Lepisosteus oculatus: one gene and its partners. The protein of the gene in region 2 purifies or fractionates together with the protein of the main gene of each other region. This does not show direct contact. Links are inferred from orthologs where the notes say so. Each region holds a gene or a part of one and is shown on either strand. Other genes may lie near its edges. The genes, in order: cyth3a, inavaa and cep170aa.

Region 1 (7,529 bases), on a different chromosome or scaffold from region 2:
TCGATCCCCACTGTCCTGCTGCACCCCGGATCCATCTTCCTGGCAGTAGGTCAGGAGGAGGAGGAGGAGGAGTGAACCAGCAGACAGCTCAGGTCTGCGAGCAGGGCGGACTCACGAGAGTCTCTGACCTCCAAGCTGGGGCTCTGCCTGGATCAGGCGGCACTGAGGGCTTCAGCCCTCCTGTGCTCCTTACAGACTGGCACCACAGCGTCGCCCTCGCGCTCGAGGGGGAGGTGCCTCAGGGACCTGGGCTGGTGCTGCCACGGTCCTACGCGTGGTTTCTCGCGGCAGTGCCCATCACAAGACCGAGGGCTCTCCCGCCCCTGGGGAGCCTCTTCCCAGAGCACAAAGAGCGCTCTGTGCCTTCACCCACCAGCAGGGGAGAACCAACCGCTCCTGCTGCAGGAGAGGGGACCAGTCCCAGCGGAGATCTTCAAGGAGGCGCTTCCATGAATCGCCCTGAGCGTCAAGCGGGCCGTGCAGAGGCAGCCTGGGCTCCTGGAAAACCTCTCCCTTCCAGGGCAGTCGAAGACTCCTCCTCCTGTGCCCCAGCCTCCCTTCGGGAAGTCAGCGTGACGAGCAGAGGCCCTGTCTCAGCACTGGGCTTCACTGCCAACCACTCGCTGAGAGCCCACTGGCCTCTGTCCTGGGCCCTGCTGACCTCCTGATTACAGTCGGCAGCTTCTTCAATCCTTTCAGGACAAGATGCCCAAAATGGCCCCTCAGCTCTGCACTCCTTTGATCACTTTTTCATCAAAGGTGTTGATGAAACACGTTCCCTTAAGCGCTCTTCCTAAGGCTCATATCTGTAAGCTAGGAGTTGCTGGTGCGGTCCCGGTGAGCTCGGACAGGCCGGACCTCCACACGGGCCCCTTCCTGAGCTCCAGCCCAAAGGTCAGGACTGTTGAGGAAGTGGATTGACCCGAGGCGGAGGAATGAAATGGGTTTTTTTGTCACGCTTTTTCTCCCCTTGTCGTTTTGAACGAATCCATGAAAAAGTGTCGCAAGTTAACTCTTACTAAAGCTCGGGCTCTTGATATGAAATTCTTACTGCGATAAACTCAGGACTTGGGGGGGGAACAAAATGTTAAAATGACAAAACCCGAGTTGCGAGAGTAACACGGCACGTGCCCGTGAATAACTGCTGTACACGTGAGCTAGCGGGGGGAACGGTATTATCACCCCATCGCCGGCAACAGCGGCCGGATTATCAGCCACAGAAACGAACTGCCGATCAGCGGGATCCTGCCCGTGAAATCGTGCTGGCGAGGCGCAGACCGGAGCGAGTCCTGCAGCTGCCTGCGCGTTCGCTTTGAACTGAGCTGAGAGACACGAGCGCTGCCTGACGGTGCCTCAGAAAGAAAGGGCTTGAGGGGGATTTGGGATCTGGGCTATAGCTACGGAATTGTGCACACCGCTCGCTCCACCTCCCCCCCCGCAAAGAGGCGAGGAGCACTGATGTCATATTCCTCCGCGCCATGCAACAGATACATTGCAACTACAGCACATCCATTCCTGTGCCACGCCAGCCCGTTCAATTATACTGTAGATCGCAGCCTTCAATTCAAACGCGTGCTACAGCTGCATTCCCGTCGACGCTCACGGAGCCTGGCGCAACAGGACTGACGCGTTCGCATCGATTTCATGCGCAGCGGGAGGTTTGCGTTGACGGTTCAGAGAGAATCCGTGTAGGATTCAGAGGAATGCGTCGTTCACGTCCTAAAAACGGGTCGGATATGCATCACACAGGTGAGGCTGCACATAGGTGGGGGGGAGTCCCCATTACCTGTAACACGCTTTGAGTGCTGTGTAGAACAGCACTATACAGGTATAAGGAATTTATTATTATTATTATGATTATGCATAAACGTATAAGAATAATTGCGGAGGTCTGGGCTAAGTGCAGACCCTTTACGGAGACAGCTGAATCTGTGTCCAGGGTGTTAGGGAACAGAACACCTTTTCATCACTGAAAGAACGGAGCTGGAGGGCTTTCTTCTTTCACTCCGGCTTCTCTCAGGATCCAAACCTCAAAACCGGAGCGGCGACACCACACTGGAGCGGCCCCACTGTGAATCCAAGAGCTGCCCCCGACCGCCCCCCACCGGGGGGGGTCTGCAGATGCAGATACCCGCCACTGGCTGGAAATCCAGATGTGCGGGGAGAAGGAGGGGCGCGAGACATGTTCCTCCCAGGAATGTAATTGAATTCAGATGTCAAACGTCATTTACGGGAAAAAAGCAGTTCTGTTCTCTTATCTGACGGTTACTTTCTGTGCAAGCTGTAGAGCATTTTAAAAGGACAACAGAGTATCCAATGATATCGGATATACGTACTTATATACTGTAGATAACAGAGGAGAGAGCCTATTAATAGTCTGTAAAACAAACGTTGTCCCGGTGCGCCCACTTCTATAACAAAATACGGTTGGAAAATAATCGTGAGTTAGCGATCAAGCGGTATTTGCGAGGAAAAACTTAATTTCAACAACCTACGACAGTCCTCCTTCAGAATGACAGCTACTGTTAGTTCAGAAAACAAACGAAGGGTTAAAATCATACACAGAGCTGCACTGTACTATAACACTTGAGAAATATCATAACACACCACACGCCAACAAGCTGCCGCACAGTGACAGACAACAAAACACCGCACATCGCTTACCCGAAATGTCTTCTTCCATGTCTATCGGGAAGGAGTACAAAGTCCACACAGAGGAGACAAAAACCTTCTTAAACCTCCCAGGACAGAAAATAATTCAGAGGAAAACAGCCGGATTCAATTGCGAAAAAAAGCAAGTACAGAATCAATCCTCTTAACGCCGGGCGGATGAGGGATTCTGCACACACACAGACACACAAAAATAATTTGTATGTATTGAAACTGGAGCGTATTCAACTAACACCAAACGTCCGGAAGCTGCGGGATCGCCTTAATCGGAGGTATAGATCCTAGATCGTTCAAGTAGTGTTTTAAATAATTGTGCAGCGGCGAGACGCAGGCGGAGCGCCGTGCAGGTCCACTATGTGTGAGCCGCCTCCACCGGCGCCGCTCCGCTTAGCGGCTACGTCACCGCCCGGCCCCGCCCCCGCCGCGGCCTGGCCCCCGGCACGTGACGCGCGGGGCCGCTCGTCTGCGAGACACCGGGGGCTGGTGTGTGTGGTGGTGATCCTACTGCGTTAAAAACTGACAGAATATTTGCATCACGGCATCGCACTTGATTATTGGACTCTAGGGGTTTGGTGAGACTGGAGGATGCAGTGTCACACAGGGAGAGAGATATTGACAGACGCCCGCCTTGTAATGACACGAGTATGGGGGTGTACGTTGTTATTCGGAGGTGTGCATCAGAAATTAAAATTCAAATACAGCCCGTTCCATTTACAGCAATAGGTATGAGTATTGACTGTATTAAACGTGACCAGTGCACGGGCGAAGGGTATTTTCAGTGCTGTGCCTCTCAAGTGAAATGTATACAAGTGGTTTGAATACGTTTTTTACATCAATTCCTAAGTCGTAATCAAACCGGTTAGTAGTGCCGAAAGGCACATCTGATTAACCTGTCTGATGATCGTAACATGTACGTCAAATGAAAAGCAAATATATTTATATCACAAACTGAAAGTAGAGGCATGGAGTTATTGCATATCATTATGACTATGATAAAAATTATCTGCTTTTTTTTTACCGGCGCACATTGTGAAGATTTGCATTTCTGCAAATTCTCTGGCGTTTCCCAAGATCTGTCGCTTTATATCAAGAAAGGCTGCAGTTTGTTTGCACAATTTATTCACACTCATGATTGTATTTATGTGGCCTTATGTGTTTAAATATCTTGAGTAATTTATGAGTCTAAAGGGCCAATATCCCCATCGAATACTTCACAGTTGGGTGGTTTTCTCTCACCTTTCCACATTTCTGCAATAGCAGAAATCTGTCTGTGGCCCCAGCTATCTCATCTTAATGACAATCCGACCAAGCAGTCAGGACCTAAAGTTTCAGATCTTTTCCAAACCGTGTCCCCAAGTCACCACCCTGGGGACATCAGCGCGGAAACCGTGCTCCAGAGGAACAGCGCCACCTGCTGGCTGCCCAGCACCACTGACACCACTGACAGCGGTGAGTGGTTCCCTGTCCTGAGCAGGCCCGGCCCGGCCCAGCCCAGCCGCACGGCTCCAGTGACACAGCTGCTCACCCTCCGGGGATCCGCAGCGGAAATACCCGTGATGGCACTGTCACGACGGGCCAGCCCAGTGGAGTGTACGAGCGAGGCCGCAGACGCCCCCTGGGCACGACGTGAATGCGGCACGCGACTGAGGAGCTCGACGTGTGTGGCTCTGCAGCCCACGGTGACGTTCAGCTGATTCAGACGCTGCCCCCCCCCGGCCGTTGGGTCTTCTTTCACCCTGCTAATGTCTTCAACCACGGGACGTTTCACGCCGGCGAGTCGGTTATTGACTTCCTCGGAGCGAAAGCCAACAGGGCCCTTTCAGCGACGGGGACCGCTGGGAGGATGAAGGGCCGCCATTCAGGGGCTGTGCTGTCCTCTGTCCTGGCTGGAATATAAAGCAGCAGATTCAAACGCCTGTATTGTCGGGGCCTGAAGTCTTTCGCTCCTGGCCAAGGCCGGTGAATTAGTCACTGCAGCTCGGCGGTGGCCTCTGGTTAACAGGAGCAGAATTAGCCCGTTCACAGGCCGACAGCTGGCATGAATGGAGAGAGAGAAAGAGCTGTGGCTCCAAAGAAAGGATCATTCATGCCCCTCGGGCTGTTTTGTAAATGGTCAAACCCGTCCCCTCGCCCGCTCCGGGGTCTAATTTACATTCTCTCTGAGAATGTGCCCTTTTCATCACGAGAGAGAGAGAGAAACAGGCAAGGTTTCATGTGCAGTAGTCTCATGTGGTCATTATTGTTATTAAATCACCAGAGTCTGCATTTGTTAGAAAAATCAGATTCATTCTGCGGCCTGCAATAAAATCAAGAGGCAGCGAAGGAGCACTGCAAATTCGTAGTCAGCCTCCAGGACAGCAGAAATTAAATGAACTCTGGCTGCCTTGCGAGATGGATGAACATCCAGTGAAACCTGAAATCGGTTCCTTCCTCTGCCCTTAGAGGGGAGACTGCTGTGCTAAACCGATTAGCACCCAAACACACTCCGCAGTCATTTTCACTAGAGTCGGTTGTCTGTGCTGTTCGTGCTTTCTCCCGGTTGGCATCGGAGACAGACCATCAGTGACAGCGTTAGAGCATTATTTCATTTTCCTCCTGGTTTTCCACTGTGATCTGTTAGCCTGTGCCACATGTTACAACAGGCAAACAGAGGAGGACAGAGCCGCTTTAGTTGAGAGACGATCTTTCGAGGGACCGGATGGCTCAGCTGACAGGCCTGAGCAGAGCTCAGGTCACCAGCCAACTGTGACCGGGGGTCACCATCGCAAATGGTGAGCAACACACCTCTCCTCCAATCAGAGCTGAGCATCCTGGGAGGGCGGGGGGGTGATGACGTGCCGAAAGACGATTGGCTCGAAGGGGGAAAGGGAGTGGTCTGCTTACACTTCCTCAATCTTCACGTGTGCGGGAGTGTGCGTGGGGTACGGAAATCAGAGCAGAGAACAGCAGCCAATGATCTGTTCCCAACAGGTAGACCAGCGTGAAAGTACGGCATTGCACTCCCACCTGGGAGACACACAGCGGCCATTCTGCCAAAGTAATGATAAAGTATCGTTAATTGTTGGGGTTTTTTAAAAAAAGATTTTGCTCCTTTGTACTTGTACATGTTACATCCAGGATGGCAGACGGCGACCAGAAAGGCGAAGAGGGGAGGGGTGTTTCTGTTCATACGAACTAGCCGGGACATTAAGTATTTTTAAAAGAGTGCCTTCGATCCAAGGAAAGCAGCATCAGTGCGTTCCACTTTCCGTCTCCCCATCTGTGTTCAGATCTGAGAGAAGAAACAGGCCAGAATCGCCAGGAACTCCCCAGGCACGGAGCAGCGGGGAATGTGTTCCGAGGCGGCTCAGCGGTGTCCTTCCAGGAATGGGACAGGGACAGCAGGGGGCTGGCCGGAGCAGTGAGCTCATACCTTCCAGCGAGGAGCGATCAGACAGCCGCTACCGGAGAGCGAGGGGAAGCTCCAGAGGGCCCTTCCCCTTTCCTGGGGAGAAGTGCTCTGCGTCATGCCCCGGGAGCCGGGCGCCCTTCTGAGAAAACCACAAGGTGCTCATTTAGAAACTGAGAGGAGACGGCATGCTCAGGAGAAACAAAACAAGTCTGTGCTCCCGGCTGGCTGGAGTCCCTGTGTCCAGGTGGGGCTGAATGGTGCACAGTCCAGATCCCCGCCCTGCGGTTTCAGAAAGAATAGGGGCTTTATGTACGACACCAGGGGGCACTTCTTTACCCAAAGGGTGGTGGGAGTGTGGAACATGGCTGAAGCTGAATGCCCTCCCCTCATGCTCCCAGACTGATGAACTGCAGTAGCTGGAGGGGGGGGGTTGTGCTCCTGAGTTTGCAGAGTAAAGAGCGGCAGAAGTCGGTTGGTCAGAATGCGCCTCTGCACTCGCTGAGGACGCCCTGTAGCACAGGGGTCTGCTGGCTGGGGGCGGCGGGGGTCCGCAGGGTCTCTGTGACGGAGCCTGAGTCAGGCTGCCCCCCCCCCCCCCCCCCCGGGGACGAGGCCTCTGACACAGAGCACGTACAGCAGCGGTCACCACAGTCACTGTCACTGTAATCCACCTTTCCAGGCTGTACATAAATAAACTCCCTCGGTCATATCCTTCCTGCTGGAGCGCCTCTGGCTCGCTGGCATGCCGTTTCAACCTCCCTCCTGCTCCGGGATACGGGGCAGCACAGTGACACACTGAACCCCCTGGTTTCTAGCTTTCTCTTTCATCTGCTCCTCAAGTTCAGGAGCTCGAGGGACGTTTGCCGTGAGCCAGACTCCAGCCCAGCGTCTCACACCCTTTTACCATTTCCAGGCCTAAAAATAGTCCTTCACTTACAGTTTACTGCTGCCAAGGAAACAGTGGTGCCAGTATTCGTGAAAAAAAGGTTTTAGCCTATTGATTCTTTGGCTGAGTAAAAAAGAAGTCCACATTTGTTAAGAAAGCATCAGGGCAGATAGTCAGCACTGTTTGGTTATGATGGGGGACATTCAGAGTTAATCCACTTCATCGTGGTACCTTAATAAAACCATTGCCTTGAATGTCATAGTGATCCTGCTAATTATGAATGACATAATTAAGGAACTGGTAGCGTCTTACAGAGTGGAGCAGACTGTTGTGTCACTTGAACTCCTATGGAGTGCTGTGGATGTAGTGAAGATCTCCCAGCCATGCTCTCTGGTGGCTGCGGCCGTGGTCTATAAACTGGATACAGCCCTGTTCTTGCTGCCCCGAACTACAGTCCATTCAGATACGTTTGGCTCAGCATCACATCCACTGCATGGCTCAGACTGTGAAAGCAACCTTTTGACACCCACTGGGATTACACCCAGTAATAGTTTTTCAACATGGTGTCAAAATTAGACCAAA
Region 2 (7,833 bases):
ATAATAATAATAATAATAATAATAATAATAATTGCTTATGCTTATAAAGCGTTTTTCTGGACACTCTACTCAAAGTGCTTTAGAAGTAATGGGGACTCCCACCACCAACGTGCTGCCCCAAAAGAGCACACATTTCACCTGCTGGATGCCTGCAGTTATTTTAAAAACATGGTCTTCACGTGCACCTCTAACAGATGCAAACTACAAGCATATAAAATCTCCATTAAAAGAAAGCCACTTATTCCTGGTAATATCGTGACAAACCAGTGCTTATGGCACAATACAGGACTACACACTGGCCAGGATGCCAGTCCATGACTGGGATCACACACAACTGAAAGCCCTGTGGCTATTCTAGCCAGCAGGGCTCTGGAAGGAAACCAAAGCACCCGGAGAAACAAAACACACCAGTGAGAACGTGCAAACTTCACACAGAAGGCACCCCAGTCTGACAGTTTGAAATCAAGACTAGGAGCAGCTTTAAGACAGCAGTACTATCTGCTAGACAACCAAAAACCTATAAAATACTCAAGAATTCTGTGAGATCTTTCCTTGTTCTTCACCAGAATGTACTTTTGCAGAAACAAGGTAGAACTTTCTTGTTAACATTTATTTGTTAAAATGTACAGCCTTATTAATGACTGTATTAGTCATTATTAAGGCCTATTAGACTGTATTAGTCATTATTAAGGCCCTCACACCTGAAGAAGGCTCCACGGCCGAAACGTTGTGTTCTCTTTCTTCCTTTTTTCAGCATGGAATAAACCTATTACTTGTTCCTTTGCATTATTAAGGCCTAATCTGGAACAGCATACATAAATGAAAATGCATGTTTTAATTCCATTGTCATGCTCTGGGAACTGTTTACCAGGATACTTATGGCACTTATAAATGAGTATATGAGGTGTAATGTTTCATGACCTCCTGTGTCCTCATTTCAAGTGACCAATTTGGAGTTTCCAGTTTGCCAGAGTGATTTGATATTTGTTCTACAAATGACTGCTGCTGCAACAGTTCAGAAACATTGTTTTTTCTAAAAACATACATCTTTCACTGGCTAAAGACCAAGTGCTTAGGGCAGCAGCTTTTGAAACACAGTTAATAAAACTTTAGTGCTTTATCAATGTGAAAGATTTCTGCAGTCTTGCAATTACTTGCTAAGCACTGCTTTAAGCTACCAGGGACAATGTTTATTTGTTACACAAAATACTGATTTTCACATATTAGTCACAGATTACAGACTGTTCAAAGCAATTGAAAAAGGTGGGGGTTTAAAGTATGCATTATTGCTTCAGCTGAGTATTGACCTATCTATTGACCACCTTCTGACAGAACACCACACAGCGGCATTTGCTACAGACAATTCCCTAAAAGCAATTGTGTAGTTTTAAGTATAGCTCAGTTTAAAGGAAAAAGAAATGAAAAAATAGATATTCTTACCTTTTGCTGAATGCTGGAACCTGTGGACTTTTAAGGAGCTATGTCAACGACAGAAAGAGTGCCAGGTAGACTATTTCCTTTGCTGTGGGCAACCCATGTCTGAGCTGAACGCCTGCACAAGAAGATGTCTCATTCAAGGACTTGGTTAACCACGACACTGATGCACCAGCGATAAAGAAACCTTTCCCACGCTGCCTCTGTTCTTCCAACCCCAGGCCACATCATGGCTTCTGTGTCTCGCCCTGAAGAAGTGCTCAAGTCCAATTGTATGAAAGCAGCACAGTATGTCTGGAAACAAAGGTTACAAAGCATCACACCTTGACACAGCCAATTGTTCTTCACCTGTATGAAGAAAAAAGAGGTTTGAAAAAAGGATGTCCCTGTGTTAATATTTCCAGGCTTTAACAAGACCTCCAGCAGTTCTTAATGGTGCTATTTTCAGCTCTAGCTAATTCAACAACTATTACTTTGGAGCTGTTATGGTATCTGTGTTATGAAATTTCATGGAAGGAGGATATCAATATCAAATGAGTACCAAGTATTCTGCGTCTATTTTGCACTTATCTAAAACAGTGTTGAAAGGTGTTAATGGGAGGTCTAAATAGCAGATGACCCAGCTTTACTTGGTTATTCAATAGGCTTTTTAAATGCACTTGACAAGCTTTAAGGTTAGTATTTTGAGAAGTTTGTTTTCAGCATATGGATATAACTTATCTTCAGATAACAGCAGGGCTAGATAAAAGTTTTTTGATAAAAGAAAATGTTTAACTGTTTAATGGAACACCAGAACTCACAGTGGGGTGTGTGATTGAATAATTAACTAGCTCTGCAAGGCCGTACAATAACACAACACACTACTACACACTAAAACAACATACTCCTTGTAACAGTGAAAAGGCTAAGCTACCTGTGGTCTGTAAGGACAGGTAGTCTGTATCGCAATACAGAATTGAACGTACATGTAGGACATCTGTTGGACTGTTGTTTGGGTCAATCTAAAGCACACTCACACACAATCACCATTTAAAAACAATAATTATCTTACAAACTTGTCTGCCCGGTGCTGTACCTGCACATAGGACCCATTAGCTATAACACATCTGTGTACTTGTAAATCACCTTTGCCTGAATCTGCTACGCAAAAATAAGACATAAGCAACCAACAGTTCCACCATTCTTCATGGTTTTGAGAGTAACACTCAAAACAAGAGCACAGGCTCATGAAAGTTAGATGTAAGGCTGGAGGAACTCACAGTGCATGCACCAAGCACCAGAGGAGAATCCAAAGAATGAATTCAGAGAGAAGTGAGCATCCAGAATCTGGGCAACAAACAGTGAGAACTTGGAATGCAGCAAACTCAGAATAAACTGTATGACAGAGTACCTGAGCACTGCTGGATCACAGCTTGTGTAGCTTGAACCACCTGAGGCGGGTATGGTAGGTGATCTCCAGGTGGCACAATACTCCTGTAGAATTAGTTACCATGGTAACTGAGTGACATGTGTGAATACGACCTCACCCCCCAACCGCTTGCAAGTGAGTAGGGCAACTGGACAACTGCTACAGAGTCCCATTCCCAATGTCTCTTTAAACACTTCTCTGAACTCATATTTCTTTAATATGGGCTTCTCTTCTTCAGGTGTCAGCTGTCAGTGACCAACTTGTTTCATCCTATATTGTTTTCCTATGCTCTGAAGTCATCATGTTTTACAAATATCCTCCAGACATCTTGCAAGATGGTGACAGTGGCAGGAGTACCTGGAGCCGCGCGCCCCATGTCCTGTAGCTCTCCTCAGAAGACGCTGTGTCTGTTTGCTCCTGCCTAAATCACCCTGCAGGCTGCTGGTGAGGAGTGTGTGGAGCCATTCCACTTGACTGAATGTCAGAATTAACTTGCCTGCTGCTGACTGTGTTACGCCCCCTCCTTCCCCCCCACCCCAGCCTCCAACTTACACCCACTCAGCACTCCCAGTCCCACAGGCCTTTCAAATGGAAATGAGCCGCCGTTTAATTAGCTGCTCCCTTCCCTCCCACACAAGGCAGGGGAAGAAAAGAGGCCATCTGCTGGGGTGTGGACACCAGGCGCCCCATTCAGTGCAGCAGAGAGTGGAGCATGGTTTGAGTTTGGTGGAGAGGGATCACAGCGATCCTGCTGTCTCCGGGTCACAGAGTTCTGCTGGGCCTCTGCTATAAATTCTACAGTATATCTGCAGGAATGCGCGTGAGTTTCAGGCTGAGCATACTTCCCCGTCGCTACTGGGAGTCCCTCACTCAAACAAATCCCATCATCCCCAGCTCCTGGAAGAACACCTTCAGGTGCTCAGGTTCTGGTACACTGGTGGGATACCTGTAGGAGTGGTGCATAAAGATGTATGGATTGATGCCTTTTATGTAATGGTATTTATATTTTTAATGTAATGTTTGTATGTAAGTCTCTCTGTGTGCAGAACATAGGTACGTGGACGCAAAACAAATATGTGAGAAATAAGAACAAGTATTACCCGCCACACAGCAGGTCAGGTGGAGAAGGGAGAGATTCGGAAATCACACACCTGAAGAAGGCTGCTGTTCGGCGTGGTGGAATTAATCTTTACTTGTTTCTCACGCAGCTCCCCCACTCAAAACTAGTTAATGGATAATACAAACGAAGCCATATAACTTAGAATTTTTGAAACGGTAAATAAAAGCATGTCGCGATAATAGACATTTTTAAAAGCGTAAGCACATATCGAGCGTGTTGTGAAACTGGGGGGGGGGGGGCTTATTTAATGTTCTCTGCAGAGAAGTGATTGATGCGCGGTTTGACGTTGTCCTGGGGTTCGGAATGGGAGGGGGTCGGCGTGAAGACACCAATTCATCCCTTTTACACTACTAACCAGCCAGCTGTCTCGCACACTTGCTTTGTGCAGACAGCTTTTTTTCCCTCTTTCGCGCTATTCTTTTTTTTGAAAACCTTCACAATAACCACCCGCGGTACACCCGTGTGCTGCTTGAAAGAGCACATTGAACCCCAGAACAAAACTGTTGGAGCGGGATGACGGGAATCCCAAAACAGGATGGGGAAGTCGGTTGAATTTTCTTTGTGAAAGCCCATAACGTTAATGCATTGAAAATAAAAAGATTATCCCTACAAAACACACAAGTGAGATCGTGATACACTGTAATACTGTGTTTGAACAACCTTCGCCCTGACTCATTTAATAGCGATCTCTCCACCATGCCGTTACCCCCCATCTGCTTTGGCTCATGGTATAACCCTGAGACAGATGTCCCACTCCAAAACATTTGAGATGCTCAGCAAATACCGCAAAGTGGAAAACGTGGGTGCGTGTAGGGGCTTGTTGTCCTGGTATGGATACAGGAAGATCTTCTCAGCGATCTCAGAATCCCTGGGACTGCTAAAGAAAACAGGAAAAGGTAAAACATTTGCATTTATCCCTGAAACTAAGAGAATAAGACCTAAGAAAATCAAGTCGGTTAGAAGATTTCACTTGCAATTTTTAATTACAATAAGGGAAAAATCCGATTTCTGTCATGTGCTTTAAAAGTCTAAAGATGATCAGGAATGCGCAGTGCTGTTAATACCATTTTGTAACTCGTCTTAGGGGCCAAGGTGTAAGGCTTATAGAGATGATTTTGTCCCTAGTTTGGAAGTTAAAAGTTAATATTGAGTTAATGGGGTACGAGCATCAGTGCGCACAGAATTCGTGCTGGTCGCCGCAGATGCGCTTCAGTCATCTTGTCAAATTAGCTTGATGTGGTCGGAGAGACGACTGCCTGTGGAGGTGTTTGTATTTAGGCAGGAGATTTTACATTTCTCCACGGGTGAGAGGAGACAGGCATTTTTCCCTCTTTTTCTCGGGGTGGGGTCAGTCGGTTTCATTTGTTTAACAACTGCAAGTCATTTCTACATGAGAAGAATAGGGGAATACCTTTTCACGGACGGGGAGGCTCGTCCGTTCCAGATTCCAAATTCAGAAAAGTTTGATTTGCGTGGTTTACATGAAAACGGGATTCTAAGGCTTTGAATTGACGGTATTTAAGATCAAGTGTGAAACAAGATTAAGATGAAGTGAAAAAATGCGTTACATGCTAAACGTAAACAAATACAAATACAGCATAAAATGCAGTGTTACAGCTGTAACCTTTGTCTACTGTCTGAGCCCAAGGGATGCCCCTGTACAGAGTTGTTACTTTGTGTCTCTCAGAGCGTCATTGCAATTTAACTGGTCTGTAGTGCTAGAAACGATTAGAACCCCCCCCAAAAAAATAGTGGCTTCCCATCTGAAGTAATTGATTTCAGAGATTCTTTATCCCTCAAAGTCTGGTGTCAGACTTCTTTGTTGGGAGAGGTGGTTGTTAGCAATGTAATTTCAAGGGCGGATCGAAATACAAAGAGGTAAAAAGCAGCTGTAAGTTTCTCTCAGGCTGCCTCATGGACTTTTGTAAGTATTTCAGATCAGCCGCGTCCAGCACTGTGACCCACCTTTACTTAACCGTTGTTTGCTTTAGAGATTGAACGGCTCATCCTCGACATGCTCGATTTTTCCATGATGAAGTTTATATAGGTTTTCAGTCTTTTCCGTAATTTGGATTTTTTACATATATCGGCACTGTGTTGAAAATAATTATCGGTTCCCTTATGCATGGTTACTGCTGTAGAAGTTTTGCTCCTTTGACAGGGCTTTCCTATACGTGTTCCGCAAACTTTTACTACGGTGAAGCAACCAAATGGTTAGAAATTGTAGTTACTGTAGCCCCTTGCAGTATTACTGTGCTCTAGTAGCTAAGGAATTAAAGCTAAAAACAGACTTGCACAGATCTGATAACAAGACCAAGACAAGAGATAAGCTTCACACACTGATACCGTGAATGGAGAGTTTTCAAAGGCTTGAGCTGGGGAATTTAATTTTGAGGTTTGTTTGTACTTTTCAAGTCGGCCCACAAAGGCCTCCTTGTTTCAGAGGAGGAAGACAAATCCCCCTGGAAAACAGCTGCAGTCATGACTTCTTTTTGTCCCGCAATCCGGGACCTTGTCTTCAAATCGCAACAAATGTGAGAGCTTGTAACCTGTGTGCCAATGCGACCATACATGCGTCCTAATGGAGTGTGCTGCATCTTCTACGTGCGCTGACCAGACCTGACATTAGGTTGACCTTGAAAAAATATACTGTGAATTATTTACGCTGTGTTTCTGCTGTATGCTCTTAGTTTTGCCATGAACTTATTATACTCCAGTTTCTTTTTCTGCTTTTGCTGTGGTTCATCACAGTGGACTTGCAAAACTGCAGTCAACAACGGGATGTCTTATACAGTACTTGTGAACTGTTGAACACTGTGCTCTGGCTCCACAAGCCTGGAAGGAATTCCGGAATTAGAATTCCATGATTGCATTAGAAGCAAAAGCTTTGCCATCTCCCAGTTTACATGTCCATGACCACCAGCCTGGCAGCTGGTGTTGATTCTTGATGGGCATCTGTCATGCTTTGCCCTTCGAAGTCCGTTCAGCAAATAACTTTATGGAATAGGTCCGCAGGGCAGCTGATCTTCTAAGCATAGATAAAAAAATGGAGAACAATCCCATGTATCCAAGTAAGGTGGTGTGTGTTAGTGTATCCCACATGCAGTTTGGTAAGTACTGGAGGAAAAAGAGATAATAATAATAATAATTGCTTACACTTATATAGTGCTTTGCTGGACACTCCACTCAAAGCGCTTTACAGGTAATGGGGACTCCCCTCCACCACCACCAATATGCAGCCCCACCTGGATGATGCGACGGCAGCCATAGTGCGCCAGAACGCTCACCACACATCACCTATCAGTGGGGAGGAGAGTAGAGTAATGAAGCCAATTCAGAGATGGGGATTATTAGGAGGCCATGATTGGTAAGGGCCGGTGTGAAATTTGGCCAGGATGCCAGGGTTACACCCCTACTCTTTTCAAGAAACTGGGATTTTTTTTAATGACCACAGAGAGTCAGGACCTCAGTTTTATGTCTCATCCGAAGGACGGCACCTGTTTACAGTATAGTGTCCCTGTCGCTATACTGGGGCATTAGGACCCACGTGGACCACAGGGTGAGCGCCCCCTGCTGGCCCCACTAACACCCCTTCCAGCAGCAACCTTAGTTTTTCCCAGGAGGTCTCCCATCCAGGTACTGACCAGGCTCACACCTGCTGAGCTTCAGTGGGCTGCCAGTTGTGAGCTGCAGGGTGATATGGCTGCTGGAGTAATGTAGTTGCCACAATTAGCTGTTCTGGTTTCCAGCAGCGATAGTTTTTGACTGCTGGTAAAGTTTTCGCTGGAGTATATAAGTAAGGGAGCAAGCGTGCCAAAACACAAAGAGCCCAGTTGTTGGCAGGTGGCTGTAAGGTCTGCGCTTAAGTTGT
Region 3 (7,330 bases), on a different chromosome or scaffold from region 2:
ATGCCCAAAATTCAATACACCTTGCAAAGAGTTACTGCACAACCAGTATACACTATGTTATATACTATGTAATACATACATTTGGATGATCATGTAATGTTACAGTCCGTTTCCTTCCAGTCAGTTACAGAGACCCACAGGATTACATACAGCAGCTTACTTATTAAGAATCTTCAAGTGTTGGGCTGATCAGAGATATTTCTGTGTGTAATCGGGATTCCTCTGAGGTCTTATTTTCGCCTCAAGGTTTCCTTTTTAAACGGTGTTGATGTGAGGGCGCCAGACCCGAGGAGCCCGTCTTATCTCCGCCCACTTCCTGCCGCTTGAGACGGGGCTCGCCGGCCCGCTGCTGCCCAGCTCCAGCGCCCCAGGCTGCGCGGGTCTCACCCGTGAAAGAGCAGAGCACGGCCGCGCGGCCAGAGCAGGAGAGGTTGGCAAGAACACAACGAGCCCATGGGCGAGGGACAGTTTGTGCAGCACACTGCACGGCTCCGTTTCACAGCTTTCACACACTGCGGCTACCTGAGAGTCACACTGAGTGACTGCAGTCGCAGAGAAGGCTCGGTTCACCTCTGCGATAGAATCCCGAATCGAGCAGCTGTGAGGATGATGGATTGGACTGACCGAGCAGGAAGAGCTGGAGTCAGCTCTCCTCATTCCGGCTCCATTAGCCCAGGTCTGCGCTTCCTTCAAACGGGACGTCCAGCAGGGAGGCCGGCGCTGGTCTCTTCCTGGCCTCTCGCTGCCACGCCGAGCGAGACCCACAGAACCTCTCACGGCAAGAAAAAAAACCTCTCGTGTTCAGATGGTCTTTTTGCCTCCTCTGTCACTGCAAAACCACCAGGCTGGAAGACGACTCCATCTAAGAGGATACGGCAGAGCTGCGAGACCATTTGACAGCCCAGGAGGAGCATTTTCACCTCAGCAGCCCCATGTTTTCTGCAGCTCCACAGCACTCAAAATACACCCAGGCCAGCTTCCGCCTGCACACCAGTGGCAACACACCACACCTTTACCAGTGTTCAGGTTCACCCTCACCTCCCTGGCAAGGGGAGAGCGACCGGAGATACGTTTAAAACTGGAATAAAACAAAAACCTTGGCCACACGGCCAAGTTGTTTAGCAGATGGACATAATCGATCTGTCAGACGAGCAATGCTTATGAGAAACATCAAAAAAAAAAAAAGAAATCTTTTCTGAACATCACACACAGCTCTGTCCTGTCCTGGAGATACACATGCCATGGAAAAAAAAAGACTTTTGTGGCTATAACCCAAGGACGTTAATCAGTGTAGAACAGGGATGTCTGCACTCAGAAACCAACTCTCCGCCACAACAATGTCATTATTAAAAACATTTGAGTTTGTGCAGCTTGTAGTTAACACCTTCTGAAGCGGCGCTGCGTGTCTCCTGGCCTGACAGAGAGCTCCCAGTCAGGATATGGAGGATGTCCTCCATCTGATAGGCCCAGGGCTGGTAACGGATCCCGTCTCTCTTAAATAAATACTGAGGAGGAGGAGGAAGAGGCGGGCTGTGACGTGCACTGGCACAAACCCAGGACTTCCACACACACTGGCTGTGATTACTCCACTGTCACTTCAGCGATAAACGCAAGGGGATCTCTCCGACATCGGCTGATATCGCACCTCTGACAGCCGATACCCCAGTGTCAGCTCCGTGGGGGTGAGGGACTCTCGGCGGCCCCGCACCACACAGCAGAGCCACGCCGTCCATCCGGCACAGAGCCGGGCCTGCTGGTGCCACACTAACAGAAACCGGGGTACCCCGCTACCCCGCAAAACCAACAGCGCCCATGCACATTATACACAGGGCATGTTCGTTCACACCCAGAGCACAGACCAAATCTGTGAACGCCCAACCGGGTCGGGACTGGAGTAACGGTCCCCTGGAAAAGCCCGTTTATTCGGGGGTGCGCGGGGGAGGGGGGGTTCCCCGAAAAAGGGTCACTCCCTCAAAACCGCCGTTTCACTGCCTCGGAAATATTATGTACTGTGCCAACCAGATGAAACGTCGGCAAACAATTAAAAAAAAAAACAACGTCGGTCTGCAGCCATCCGCGCCACAGATGTTGGGAGTGGGGTGTGTGTGTGCGGGGGGGGGCAGTCAGGACAAAAACTGACAGCGGATTGGCGGGACCCAGTCTCTGTTCCCGTTACATTCTCCACTGTTTTGCTGCACGTTTGAAAGAGATGGATCCATTTTCTGCGCTCCCGGCCCCCCCGACATCTTCAGGACTCAGCCCGTCTGGGAGCAGGCAGGAAATGGCTCATTCCTTCATCCCGCAGCCTCGTGCGGCCGTGCACCCCGGCAACATCCTCCCAGCGCCCCCTCGCCCGAGCTCCCCGCACCCCGACAGACCGGGGGGTTCTCGCACATGGAGGAGGGGAGGGGGGGGGGGGGACCCCTATCCGCCCCTGCCTCTCTTCCATCGCCTTCACGAGGACGGCTAACCGCGCCCCCCCTCACCCTCACCCAGCAGAGCCGAGGTGTCACCGCCGCGCAGGAACACCCCCTGCACCGGGGACGCGTTTCTGGAAAGAACCGGACTAACCGGACGGCCCCGAGCAGACAGAAGACTCCCCGGTCCCCCCGCCCGTGTGGCAGAGCCGCTTGCCGGGGGGTCCCGGCCAGACTGTACCGCTGCGAGCTCCACAGACATGGAGACGGAGAAAAGCGTTTCAGTATTCAAGTGCATTGTGCTTTATTATTAGCCCTGTTCTCGCCAACCCGACCAGCGTTAAACTAACGACGCATCCTTACAAGAAATAAGAAGCCAAGTCTCCTACTTACCCTTTTCTGGACTGTTGTGAGTGTATACGTGTGTCCACTCCACTATAGCCGTATATACACAATGCGCTCACACAGAGACTAGCCCAGCCCCTGTATGTGGCTGCTCGCCTATTTGTCTCGGTTGCTCAGCAATAACGCTGCCGCTCCTCGCATAACGGCGCCGGAGCCCGCAGGCGCCTGCAGCTCCAGCCCGACCCTCTGGGCGCGGCCTCCACGCCGACGGGCGTCCGCACGGACCAATCGCTGGCACGAACGGGGACGGACGTCGCAACCTGAGGGTGCTTCTGGCCAATCAGCGCCGCTGAGAGCGGAGGAGTAGGCAGGACTCCGGGGGATTGACGTGAGCCGGGACCTATGGAAATCGTGAAAAGAGCAAGGCAGAGGAGGGGTCGCCTTTTTGGCAAGCCGACGGAATGCTCAGTAGCTAGGGGCAGCATGGCGGCGGCCTCCCTGGCAACGCGCGGCGGAACTCTGGGAGTTGTAGTTTCTGCGTTTCCTATTCTCCGCCTGAGGACGTTAGGCTGACGCCCGAAGAGCACTACCATTCCCAAGGAAACCTGGGACCAGTTTGAGGAAGTGGCAGGCGCGTCACCGATTGGCTGTGCTTGAGGCTCTTCGGTTAAAAATTTGGGGTAAATAAAATAGAGCTTCTGCTCGGGAACGCGAGTGCGGGTGTGAAGTCTGCCCTTGAATTTCGTGCCCCCCAGCCGGTCTGTATAATCCATGAAGCCCACTGTGGAGTCCGAGGATGACGGGGAGCTGGAGCAATACCAACAGGCTCTGAGAGGTGACCAGGAGAGGAACAGCTCGATTCTAATGACCAGATGTACAGGGATGCTTATAATGGTGTCTGTAAACTGAAAATACAGTTACACGGCTTGCATACCAGTTGACGTTTACCGGCAACATCTACACTTTTTTACAATTATATCGCTTAGCCTCTTTGCTACTTTGTATGGTAACGTAATACAGTGATACGATAAACGTATGGTGTAGTTGAGTTTTTTTGATTTAATGCAGCGATAAAATACTTTATTACACTTTATTAAATATTCTTCAATTATAGTCTCTGCTTTCTATAATTTACGTGCTCTTCGGCAGATCAATGCGACTCAGCAGATATAAATATTTATGGGTTCGCGGTGTAGACATGCACCTATACAGCGGATCGATTGGGCTGTCAGGAACACGCTCCTTCCTCAAGGAGTGGAAGAGTATCCCTTTGGAAAGGCTTTGCAGCCAAACCCCGGGGAAATGCAAGCAAGGCCTTTTCTTACTGGATAAAAATGAAAAATCTTTTTCGATATAGATAGCATCAAAATGTTTTTTTTTTCTAAATAATTTGAAATGTACGCTTCTTTACATTAATCCTAATACAATGATAGAATAAAATGTATTTCCCTGGACGAAAGCATCCCTTAATTCAATACGTTATATATTGTACAGTAGGTGACTGTTAGGTTTTTATAGAAATGTTCCGGTTTTCCATATAAACCTATGCAATAGGGTCATTTATTTATGAATCTGTTGTAAGGACATAAATAGTCATATTAACCCCTGTTGGCTGCAGGAGACTGTCAGGTCTTTATATAAACAATGTGGGGGGAAAAAACAATTTCAACACAGTCTTTAATTGTGCAAGGTTTCTTGCCGTTGCTGTGTTGCTGTCAGTGTTTAGAACCGTGCTGTTGAGACCGTGCGGCCGTCCTGCTGTGATTCCTGTTTCCTCCGGAGGAGAGGGCTTCTCGCTGAGCTCGCATGCCGGCCCCTGCCCACCCGGGTCTTCACGGGAGGGGCAGACAGGCTCGCTGCGGTGTCACTCACCCGGCTTGTTCCTCCACAGACCGAGCCAGCAGGAGCGCCCGGCAGCTGCGGAGCATGCTGGGGCCCAGGAGCCCGGCGGGACGAGGCGCGGAGCAGGCGGGGTCCCGGGACAGCTGGCACCAGCTGCAGCACAGCGCCGCAGGTACGGCCCGCGCCCGCCGGTCTGACACCGCGCACGCCCGACAAACCCCAGGTCTGAGAAAACACGAGGTCAGCTCCTCACTTCACAGCTGCGGGCCTGAAGAACCCCAATTCCTTCTGTTTTCTGCTTTTCACTGGGCTCTCAGATACTTAGTTGAACCCTGCTGAATGAAAAGCCAGTCTTGTAGCTCTTTAAAATCTCATGTTTTCAGTCTCCCATTTGAAGAGCAAGTTTCAAACTGTTTTCAATATCTTAAGAAGTTAGTGGCGTCCTGGAAAATTGCATTATGTTATCTGCAGGTGTTGCTAGAACCGTTCAGGTACAGTCGTGTTCCCTGTCGTGTTTTACAGCAGGATACAGACCTTGAAAGTTGTCGGCTTTCATTCAGTGCAGGAGTGTGTTGTCCTCAGTGTTGCGTTGCTTGAGCTCAGCACACTAACAGCTGCTGGTAGGATGCCACCATCAGGGTTTGGAGAGAGGGATTGCATTGGACAATGCTGTTAAGAGTTACTGCACCGATCTTATAATTATTATAATAATTGCTTACACTTATATAGCGCTTTTCTGGACACTCAAATCAAAGCGCTTTACATGTAATGGGGACTCAACTGCACCACCACCAATGTGCAGCATCCACCTGGATGATAGTGTGCCAGAACGTTCACCACACATCAGCTATCAGTGGGGAGGAGAGCAGAGTAATGAAGCCTGTTCATAGATGGGGATTATTAGGAGGCCATGATTGTTAAGGGTCAATGGGAAATTAGACCAGGACACCGGGGTAACACCCCTACTCTTTTCAAGAAACACCCTGGGATTTTTAATGACCACAGAGAGTTAGGATCTCAGTTTTACGTCTCATCCGAAAGACAGTGCTTGTTTACAGTGTCCCCGTCACTATACTGGGGCATTAGGACCCACATGGACCACAGGGTGAGCGCCCCCTGCTGGCCCCACTAACACCTCTTCCAGCAGCAACCTTAGTTTTTCCCAGGAGGTCTCCCATCCAGGTACTGACCAGGCTCACACCTCCTTAGCTTCAGTGGGTTGCCAATTGTGAGTTGCAGGGTGATATGGCTGCTGGCCTTGAAAAGTATAAGCTACAAGGAGGTGTAGTAGCAGGACATGAGATGAGACAAATGGTATCTCATCTGTGGCCCATTTTATGTGGCCAGTCAAGTTTGTCTACAGGTGCTTCACTGATGCTGCAGCAAACCTGCATGCAGGTAGTAATTTTCTGTGGCTGCCGTGGAATTCGGTGGCCAGAGGTGAATTCTGCATCGATTCCTGCCATCCCAGAGTCCTTGAGTGTTTGATGGCTGCCTCTGGAGAACGGTCACTGCCCATGCGAAACTTGGTGCCAGTGATCCCATTGCTGTGGCTTCGTGATCACTGTTTCCACAGCTGTTTGAGGCCATGGATGTTCTCCGTGCTCTCTCTGTGTTGTAGCAGAGCAACGGGAGTGTGTGTAAACTCCTGTGTCTCAATGTATGATAATATGTTGAAACTGATATCTTACTGAAATGTATTTTTCTTATGTGATGACTTCAAGGCCTTTAACATGATTTGAAAAGAGAGGTTTGCTGTAGAAATGAAAGACTTTATGTTCTGAGTAGTGATTTTTAAAAAAAATCTGAACTGAGAACATGAGGCGCATCCTCACCTGAACGGCTGTGGAGGTCTGGAAGATGTCACTTAGTCGTGTTGTAAATGCTATTGACCTGGCTTCTCTGATGAAATGAATGAGCAATTGGCTGTAGCTAACAAATGAGCTGCCCAACTGGATCCCTCTTGTCTCTAACCTTTCTTGCATGCTTTGAAAGTGTGGAAATACATTACCATACATGCCCATTATCGGTACCAACATGCACGCGATGTGAAATGCCTGTTTCTCACAAAAGTAGCATATGGCGGCACCAGAATGAAAATATAATCACGCTAACGAAAAGTTCTCTATGTTTTGCAGTCAATCAGCTACGATCCCTGCTACGCAAGCAAGAAAAGGAGTCCTTACCTTCCTCCCCTTCAAGGGAGAAGTCTTCCCCCAAGGTACAGAGAGCATAACTGCGAACCGCCCTCGCAGTCGGATTTGTTAAGCGAGCCGGCCTGTTCAGACCAATGTACAACTGTGCAATGTCATGGGCCACTCGCCACACTCAGCAATAGAGCCTGCCTGCCAATGGGCTCTCATATCGGTGCTGATCGCCAACACATGCTGATCAGTCCCTCCAGGAAATTTTGGAGACAATATTACGGCTTTTTAATGATTTATGTGGGAAAATTAATATTTTATCTGTTATTATTTGCATAGTTTAAACCATTTACATTTGAACAATGAACTAATGTGACTTTTACAATGGGAATTATGAGACATTGACACAGAAATAATTGTTGCTTCTTTAAAAATGTTTTACTCATTTTTAACCTTTTCACATTAAGAGTATTTTCCTTAAAACATTTTAAATGCTGCAAATTATCAGAAAGAGTTCTATTTATCCTTTCAGCTTCTCACAAAGTAAAATGTCTGAAATAAGCACAAACGTACAGAGAAAGG

Evidence for each region.
Region 1: the proteins of inavaa (region 2) and cyth3a purify together in Homo sapiens (co-immunoprecipitation; 3 studies listed by BioGRID and IntAct, counting the BioPlex papers as one, with this or other methods). This does not show direct contact. The link is inferred for Lepisosteus oculatus from reciprocal best matches to the Homo sapiens genes INAVA and CYTH3.
Region 3: the proteins of inavaa (region 2) and cep170aa purify together in Homo sapiens (co-immunoprecipitation; 3 studies listed by BioGRID and IntAct, counting the BioPlex papers as one, with this or other methods). This does not show direct contact. The link is inferred for Lepisosteus oculatus from reciprocal best matches to the Homo sapiens genes INAVA and CEP170.

Annotation. Positions count from the first base shown.
Region 1 is NC_090714.1:16,758,854-16,766,382, reverse strand, and holds the start of cyth3a (cytohesin-3), read right to left. Parts: upstream 3,050-7,529; 5' UTR 2,684-3,049; coding exon 2,665-2,683; intron 1,750-2,664; exon of another isoform or gene 1,523-1,749; intron 1-1,522. UniProt on the Homo sapiens protein: Promotes guanine-nucleotide exchange on ARF1 and ARF6. Promotes the activation of ARF factors through replacement of GDP with GTP. Plays a role in the epithelial polarization.
Region 2 is NC_090700.1:30,670,359-30,678,191, reverse strand, and holds the start of inavaa (innate immunity activator protein), read left to right. Parts: upstream 1-4,754; 5' UTR 4,755-4,858; intron 4,859-7,833. UniProt on the Homo sapiens protein: Expressed in peripheral macrophages and intestinal myeloid-derived cells, is required for optimal PRR (pattern recognition receptor)-induced signaling, cytokine secretion, and bacterial clearance.
Region 3 is NC_090712.1:1,042,346-1,049,675, forward strand, and holds the start of cep170aa (centrosomal protein of 170 kDa), read right to left. Parts: upstream 3,016-7,330; 5' UTR 2,811-3,015; intron 1-2,810. Other genes in the region: sdccag8 (serologically defined colon cancer antigen 8 homolog), read left to right, coding at 3,534-3,597, 4,654-4,776, 6,743-6,825.